Linked DNA regions of Tribolium castaneum. The protein of the gene in region 2 interacts with the protein of the main gene of each other region in a pairwise test. Links are inferred from orthologs where the notes say so. Each region holds a gene or a part of one and is shown on either strand. Other genes may lie near its edges.

Region 1 (3,932 bases), on a different chromosome or scaffold from region 2:
ACCGTTATAGTAATTTGGCGTAAAGTTTTGCATATAAAAATAATTTTTACTCAAAAAACGTGCTTAAATGCTTGAAAACGCATCAATAACACCACATTTAACCCAAAATGACAATTTTTCGGTTTATTTATAAAAAATTCTAGAAATAATAATTGATTTTCTAACTTTTATGCCTAGTTTAACATTTTTGATAGATACAGTTCAGCAAAAAAACGGAGTCTGCGAATCCGTGGTGATTTTTAGAATATTTTGTTTACGAAACCACTCAAAATTATGTTTTTCCAATTAGAAAAAAACGCTAAACCTCAGGAAAAACACAAAAACAATGTCATTTACAGACTAATTTATTACAAATTCATTAATTTACTATTACTTATTAAGTTTGACGGTATTTGGTGTTTCAAGGCTTTTAAAAATAGACATATTGAAATATGTCTATTGAAATTTTTAAGTCAAAAGCGTTCTTGGATGTTTGAAAAAGCGAATATAACACTATTTTCACCCCAATTTTGTGATTTTTCGGTCTATTAAAAAAGTTTCTCGAAATAATTGATATTTGGGAGTGTTTTTGCTAAAATGATGTATTTTTGTTGCTCCTAATGTAGTATTTTTAATACAGTTCAACAAAATATTGTGAAAAAAACCGAGGCTACAAAACCGTGATGATTTTTTGAATGGTTTCGTAGGAAACCAGTAAAAATAGTTAATTTCCGCATAGGAAAAAAATTGGTAAAACTCTGAAAAGTACAAAAATAATGCCATTTTCGGAATAATTTAAACAAACTTCATGTTTTTCCAAATAAGATTTATTCTATAGAACCGCATTATTCAATGACAACAATGTGCGAACACATTATTTAAGTGATTTTTTGCAGGATGATTCAAAAATGTTGGCCCAACTTACAAATGGTGCTAAAAGACGTTCAGCTAAACATCAAAATGATGGCAGATATTTTCTTAAATAATTTCCTTAAAAATTTAATTCAATAATTGTCATATTTGCTAGTTTGTTAGATATTTTATCCTCCATAAAGCACAAAACGATGTTTTTTCTTCTTTTGTTTTAACAGGTATCTGCTTAATGTTGCAAAGTCTAGCATTTCCCCTAACTAAATTCAAGAAAAAATAATACGTGCTATATCTTGACTCACATACGAGACTTCTGAATCACAGACTTCTGAAGTTATTCCACATCATTATTAAAAGTTGCAACATATTGCAACACATTAGACTTAGCATATTTGTCATTCTCCATACGAAATTTTCTTTTAAAAATGTTTCAGAGTGTTTGATTTACCTGTGAGGTTTTTTGTTTTTTTTTAAACAGTAAAAATTTTGGAATGCTTGCGACTGCCAAAGTCAAACACTTGCTAAAAAAAACCTACATAATTGTTTAGGCCCTGCATTTGTTTAATGAAATTATTAAGAAAGATTAGTACCTGCCAACTTATAATTAGAATTTATGTATAATTAGAATTTATAAAACATATACGCAGAAAACAATCTTATTTTTTTACCAACCTACCTTCAATGTCCTTGACGAGCAGGCTAAGTATCTTTTTGTCTTTAAAGAGGAAAGCCAGTTGTTGACCAACAGTAAACATCTGATTTGGAAACGAGTAAATAAATTCTTTAGCCATTTCATCTGTGTCATATTGCTCTTGCGATGTTCTATAATAAAATAATGTGTTAAAAAGGGCTCAAACTAAATGCAAACTATTCACGTTTTCTTTTGCATGTAATCAGCCTCCAGGACAATCGAAGTTATGTAATCTTCTTCCTTGTAAGGATTAACTTCAATGTCATCATTAATGGACAAGGTGGCCCATTTTCTCTGTGGTACACTGAACGCAACCTCATTCCTGTGAACTCTCGGGTCTTTCTTAATGGAAAAAATGAACTTTTTCACTCCTCCTGTGATGACTTCAATATGCCTGCAAATAAATCGGCTTCGGAACAGCTCATGTAATCCTAATGACTCACTCTGTAGATTGTGAAAAGTCGGCGTCATTCACGACAGCACAATTTGTCAATGACAGCTCATCTGAGGGGCATTTCACCACTTTAAACAACTAAAACAACAAATTTTTGTTAGTTTACTTGCGGTAGAGACAATCAAATACAATGTTCTTTAAATCATTTGAAAAATTACCATTTTCGTTCAAGAATAAATTCTGTAACTTCAGTTTGAAGATGCTGCAATGCAGGTTTAGTGAAAACCTGCAAAATCAATACTTTACACAGCACTGACAGGATAACAACCTTAACCTAACACAACTTAACCTCACTTACCCGTTTTACAGTGTCGCCAATCAACTGCCCACGTTACCCCTACTTTACATTAACTAGTAATTTTGCAACAATGTATCACAAAAAGGGTTCCAGAGCCAACGTCTGAATGTTAAGTGGCAAGATATAAGATTTCTTTCACTTTGCTTCAATAATTGAAATTAGTTGCAAATCTTTAAAAATTATGTTGGCGGCACTGTCACATCGTCATCTACAGCGCCCCTGGCGGCAGTAGCCGCGACTAAAGCTTAAGCCACATCAGTGATGATGTCAGGTCATCAAAAGAAAAAGTAAACTTGTAATAACGGAGGTTCGTGTTTATTGACCACTTACATAATTATTTTACAAAAAGTAAAAATGGAAGAGCGTCGGTCGTACGTTTACATCTCAATATTAAAATTACATACAAGTTATAATAATTTATTTGAATTTTGTACAAATAAAATGTGAATACAAAAACAACTTATTGTAGGATTTTGTGTTTTATTAGAAGTAATACGCTCATTATTAACAAAAATCAGTCAAAGAAATAGTACACACTATGGAACAAAACACTGCACACAGTAAGATATAAAAATTGTCTCTTTTACACTCACAACTCGTCATGATTTTCCTGTAACAAAAAAATATAAAAAATAGTATATTACATAAACAAGGTGCAGGAAGTATAATTATTGCGAGGGCTCAAGTTATCAAACGGAGTCCGAGCGTTTAATGACATTCCTACCGAATTTATAGTTATTTTATCCACAATCACTTTTTTTAATTTTTAATTTAACACTGTTGCCAACCCAAAAAAATCAGAAAATTCGAGATTAAAATAATTGAATAGAACAGGACAAACATCAACAAATTTGATTTAATTTTTCAACATTTTTAAAGATGTTTTGATAAGACTGCAAAATAATATAGACCGAAATAACAAATTCGATCTAACAGACACTGCATTTTTAGAGAAATTCTTTAAAATAAATCTAACAGATCTCGTAGTAACACTGTCACCAACGCAAAAAATAAAAATCTCCAGATCCGAGCTGAAAGAATTATCAGATTTACACCCCTTTCACCACACTACCATTTTTTTTAAATCTTTTTAATAGTGTAGCAGGTTCACTTACCAAATTCGGTTTAAATCTTTCCAATGGCATCAAAGGTTTACGTTTTTTTTAAGAGAAAATGAGCGGTTAAAAACGGTTTAGAGTGGTGGAAAAATCTTGCGTTAGAAATAAGCTTCTAACCCATAATGATTTTCGTTTAAATGCTGTTGAAAAGTTTTTAACTGGTAAAATTATTACCACCTTAATTATTTAGTTTTATGGTAAACTTTTGATGAAATCTCGCTAAAAATAGACGAGAAAAATAGAGTGCAACAAGAAAAATGGAATTCGATTTAATTCCATGATTTTCTGACATATTTTGATAAGATCGTGTAAAATAAATGTGTATCTGGTTTAAACTAAATTCAGCGAAAGAAGCTGAAATAACACTTGCTATTTAACTTGTAACTTTTCGACCGATTTTAGCGAAATTTAATAAAAAAAGAGTTTTGACCTCAAAACAGCAAAGCCTTTACTTTATTGAGCAAATTTACATTCGAGAAAAATCTTGAAAAACGACTCATTTTATTAGTTTCTATAGTTATC
Region 2 (3,429 bases):
CTTTCATAGAAGTTCTAAAGCTTTTTGCACTAATCCGAATTGATAGTTGCATAGGAGTCTATAGTAAAATGTCAATGTTAGAGCTTATAAAAAGTGCGAAAAGTGCTAATATGAATTACTTATATCTCAAAAACTATAGCTGCAACAATCATTCAACACCAGCAAAAAATCTGAGGCAACAGATATGTAACCTAAATTGTTAAAAAAAATGTGTTCTTTATTAAAAGAAATGTTAACTTAAGTTAAGCTAATCTCCAAAACTAAGGCTGATAGAAAAATTCTGTTTGCACTTTTGAAATCAGCGTTTAGCAATTAATTAACAACAGCAAAAAAAACTTTGGCAACAGCTATACTATATAAACTAGTGTAATAACAAAAGATACACTGAGGTCTGGCATAATATGCATACTAGTGGTAATCGAAAAAAGTCGGTGTAGTAAACATTTTTCGATGAAACAATTTTTTAACAGATGGGCTATTTTGTATGTTTTTTCGAATAGAACAATCCGGTATCATATCGTCTAGCTGCCAGTTGTAATATTTTTTTACAAAATAAAATCGCGTATTTCATTGGCGCAGTCAGTAGGAGCCCCCGATATTCGCACATTTTTAGCTTATTCCAAGGTTAATTTAAAACTGATTTTTTCAATTAGAATATGTCCTGTCCATGCGCTAGATAATAAAGTTATAAAAAAAACTTAGGTAGATTTTAAAATATTTATTTATGCAAAAGCAAGATGACAATAATCCAAATACATGAGTGTACAAAAACGAATCTAAGGTATATTCGCCAAATAATCCTTAACATGAGAAGGCTCCAATCTTCTGAAGCCTGACTCATCACAAATCCCAACTTCAATATTATCCGCCGTCATCTGCCCCTCAAAGCTCTCTTTTAACGTCAAAATCGCAGTGTGAACTGCATCATCCAACTCCAAATCTTCACTGTATCTAAAGACCAAACAATACAAACGATTTTTTTCCAGAAATCATACTTAAAATCAACACAATTTTTTACATAATTTAAAAACAGCGATATTTAGAATGGCAACACAATTTTTTATACTCAACTATCGCCTCGGAAGATAAAAATAAATTCAAGTCCAGTGCTAACTATTGTAAAACAACGCACAAAAATTCATTTCTTCGTCAGAAATTTGACATAAGTAAGAAAAAATTTTAATGCTGAGGTATACATTACTTTTTTTCTACAATCGTAATAATTTAAATAATTGTAATTTGGCGTGTAACAAAAAATATTTTTGGTTGATTAATAAAGAGCGTCGACCAAAATGTTAAATACAAATGATAATATACAAAAATTATTATTACCTCTTCTCTAAGAAAGTCTTGCCATTGATGTAGTTTTTACCCATCGCTGTGGCCTTCCACGCGAAATAGGCCCCTGAGGGGTCACACTGGAACAAATAAGGCCTGCCACTGTCCCACCCACAAATCAACAAAGACACGCCAAAGGGCCGTACGCCCCCTGATTGCGTATATTCTTGCATAACAGCCGCCACACGTTGTACAAGTTGTACAGTAGGGATGGGCTCTCGGTAGGTGAGAAAATACTTCTGGGCCATTTTTCTCGCCTGTTTGACCAGTAATCTATAATCGGGGCCCATGCCCGAATAAATCATACCAATGTGTTTCGTTATCATTTCGACTTTATGCACACTGTGTTCATCATAAAGTATGGATTTGTGTTTGTTTTCGGTGGCAATAACGACTCCATTACAGGCTGCAATAATGATATTAGGTGAAAATTATTAAGAAAGAGGATCTGAGGTACCCTTGATCCCCACGGAGGGGGCACCTGCAGCCACAGCAGCTAAGGCATACTCGATTTGCACTAGTTTTCCTGAAGGGCTAAAAGTGAGGTTATCGGTGAAAAAATAAGTAAAACAGTAGCACAAAAACTATCAAATTGTGGGAAAAATCACAATTGTGATTTTTTTCCAACTTATACAAAGCGAAATCATGTTTTTACCTGAAAGTAGTTAAAGAAAAACTATACCGCTCAGATGCCATGATTACTTGCAAAACAAATTGTTTTTATGTTGGTAATGCTGTTTGTTAACTTTTTACCAAATCATTCAAACCGTCTCAGCACCATCTAGAAGCTTGGTTACGCACTAAGCAAAACTCTTTTACAGGAAACTGTAGCAGAAAAACAGTTGCTCTTTTGGCTGTAAGATATCAGCTAAATGTGCATTTTCCATTAATAACAAATTAAAAACTATTACAATTTTTTGGTGCTCTGATAAAAACACAATTTTTTTAAAATTTAGTATTAGCTGTTCCAAAACTATAAAAACATCGCATTTTCTCTCAAAATTAGCTGTTATAAATTATCCATACACTTCAAAAAAATAATAGCAAATGTAATTTATACTTTCGATGAGATTTACAATTCCATCAATTTTATTTAAAAAAAATCGACGTTGGCGTTTTTATAGTTTTGAAACAGCTAATTTATTATAAATTTATTCGTTAAATAAATTAGTATTAATTTTCAATTATTAACAATTTAGTTTTTATCAGATATCAGGCAGTGTTGAACTCTAATAAAACTATTGTTATTTTGGAATTCATTTATTTTTTTTTTTTTGAAAAATTACTTTTAGCACCCCATATTTTACATTTGATCAAAAAACCGTCTAAATCTACAAAATAAGTGTAAATTGGTTGTGTTTTGACAAAACAGGCTTCAAAATCACAAAAATAAAATAAAACCAATCGGTTTCACTCCAGTTTTTGGGCGAAATTTCGTCAAAAGTAGGTTGTAAAATGACAAAATTCGGTCAAAAAATGAGTTCTTCTTTCTTTTAAACACGTTTTTTAAATTTGTTGCCTCCTCACATTTTTTCTCTAATTAAGGCTTTTATTATATATTTTTTTAAATTTCTAAACTAGTTATCCATGAGCCATGACAGTTTATCTGTCAATATGTCGAAATTGTTTTTAAAGGAATAAAAAACATGCATTATAACTTTTGTTAAACCGAAAAAAGAAATTAGACCAAAAATAGTATTTTCCCCAACTTTTTAGTACATTATTGATGAGACAGAAAGCTAATTATTTGCAGAATGCATTGCATTACATTTCTTTCTTTTTTGTTAATTACTATTCTTCTATAAAATAATCGTAACCAGTAAAACAACTACTTATTAAAAATAAGGTTGCCAAATATTTTTGTTTTGTTTAAATTACTTGAATTTAATTGTGTGGAGCTGGCCCGAAAGCCAATCGGAGTCATGTCCTTTCAATGCGCTCAACCAATAAAAAGGCAAAGATAATGTATAGACAAAAAATTTCAAAGCAAATGTAGTGGTAGATCAATAGATCATCGCAGGCTGATTTCAAAATGGTTTGGAGGACTATACTTAATATTTAATGTTATAAAAATATTTTGGTTTAATTTGC

Evidence for each region.
Region 1: the proteins of Prosalpha2 (region 2) and vesicle-fusing ATPase 1 interact in binary tests that used the Caenorhabditis elegans proteins (3 or more experiments, as listed by UniProt). The link is inferred for Tribolium castaneum from reciprocal best matches to the Caenorhabditis elegans genes pas-2 and nsf-1.

Annotation. Positions count from the first base shown.
Region 1 is NC_087395.1:13,854,128-13,858,059, reverse strand, and holds the start of vesicle-fusing ATPase 1, read right to left. Parts: upstream 2,416-3,932; 5' UTR 2,293-2,415; intron 2,289-2,292; exon of another isoform or gene 2,221-2,288; 5' UTR 2,156-2,220; coding exon 2,153-2,155; intron 2,073-2,152; coding exon 1,984-2,072; intron 1,935-1,983; coding exon 1,725-1,934; intron 1,672-1,724; coding exon 1,526-1,671; intron 1-1,525. Other genes in the region: Calr (calreticulin), read right to left, coding at 2,882-2,902. UniProt on the Caenorhabditis elegans protein: Required for vesicle-mediated transport. Catalyzes the fusion of transport vesicles within the Golgi cisternae. Is also required for transport from the endoplasmic reticulum to the Golgi stack.
Region 2 is NC_087397.1:11,803,831-11,807,259, forward strand, and holds Prosalpha2 (proteasome subunit alpha type-2), read right to left. Parts: upstream 2,135-3,429; 5' UTR 2,035-2,134; coding exon 1,994-2,034; intron 1,873-1,993; coding exon 1,796-1,872; intron 1,745-1,795; coding exon 1,333-1,744; intron 952-1,332; coding exon 777-951; 3' UTR 704-776; downstream 1-703. UniProt on the Caenorhabditis elegans protein: The proteasome is a multicatalytic proteinase complex which is characterized by its ability to cleave peptides with Arg, Phe, Tyr, Leu, and Glu adjacent to the leaving group at neutral or slightly basic pH.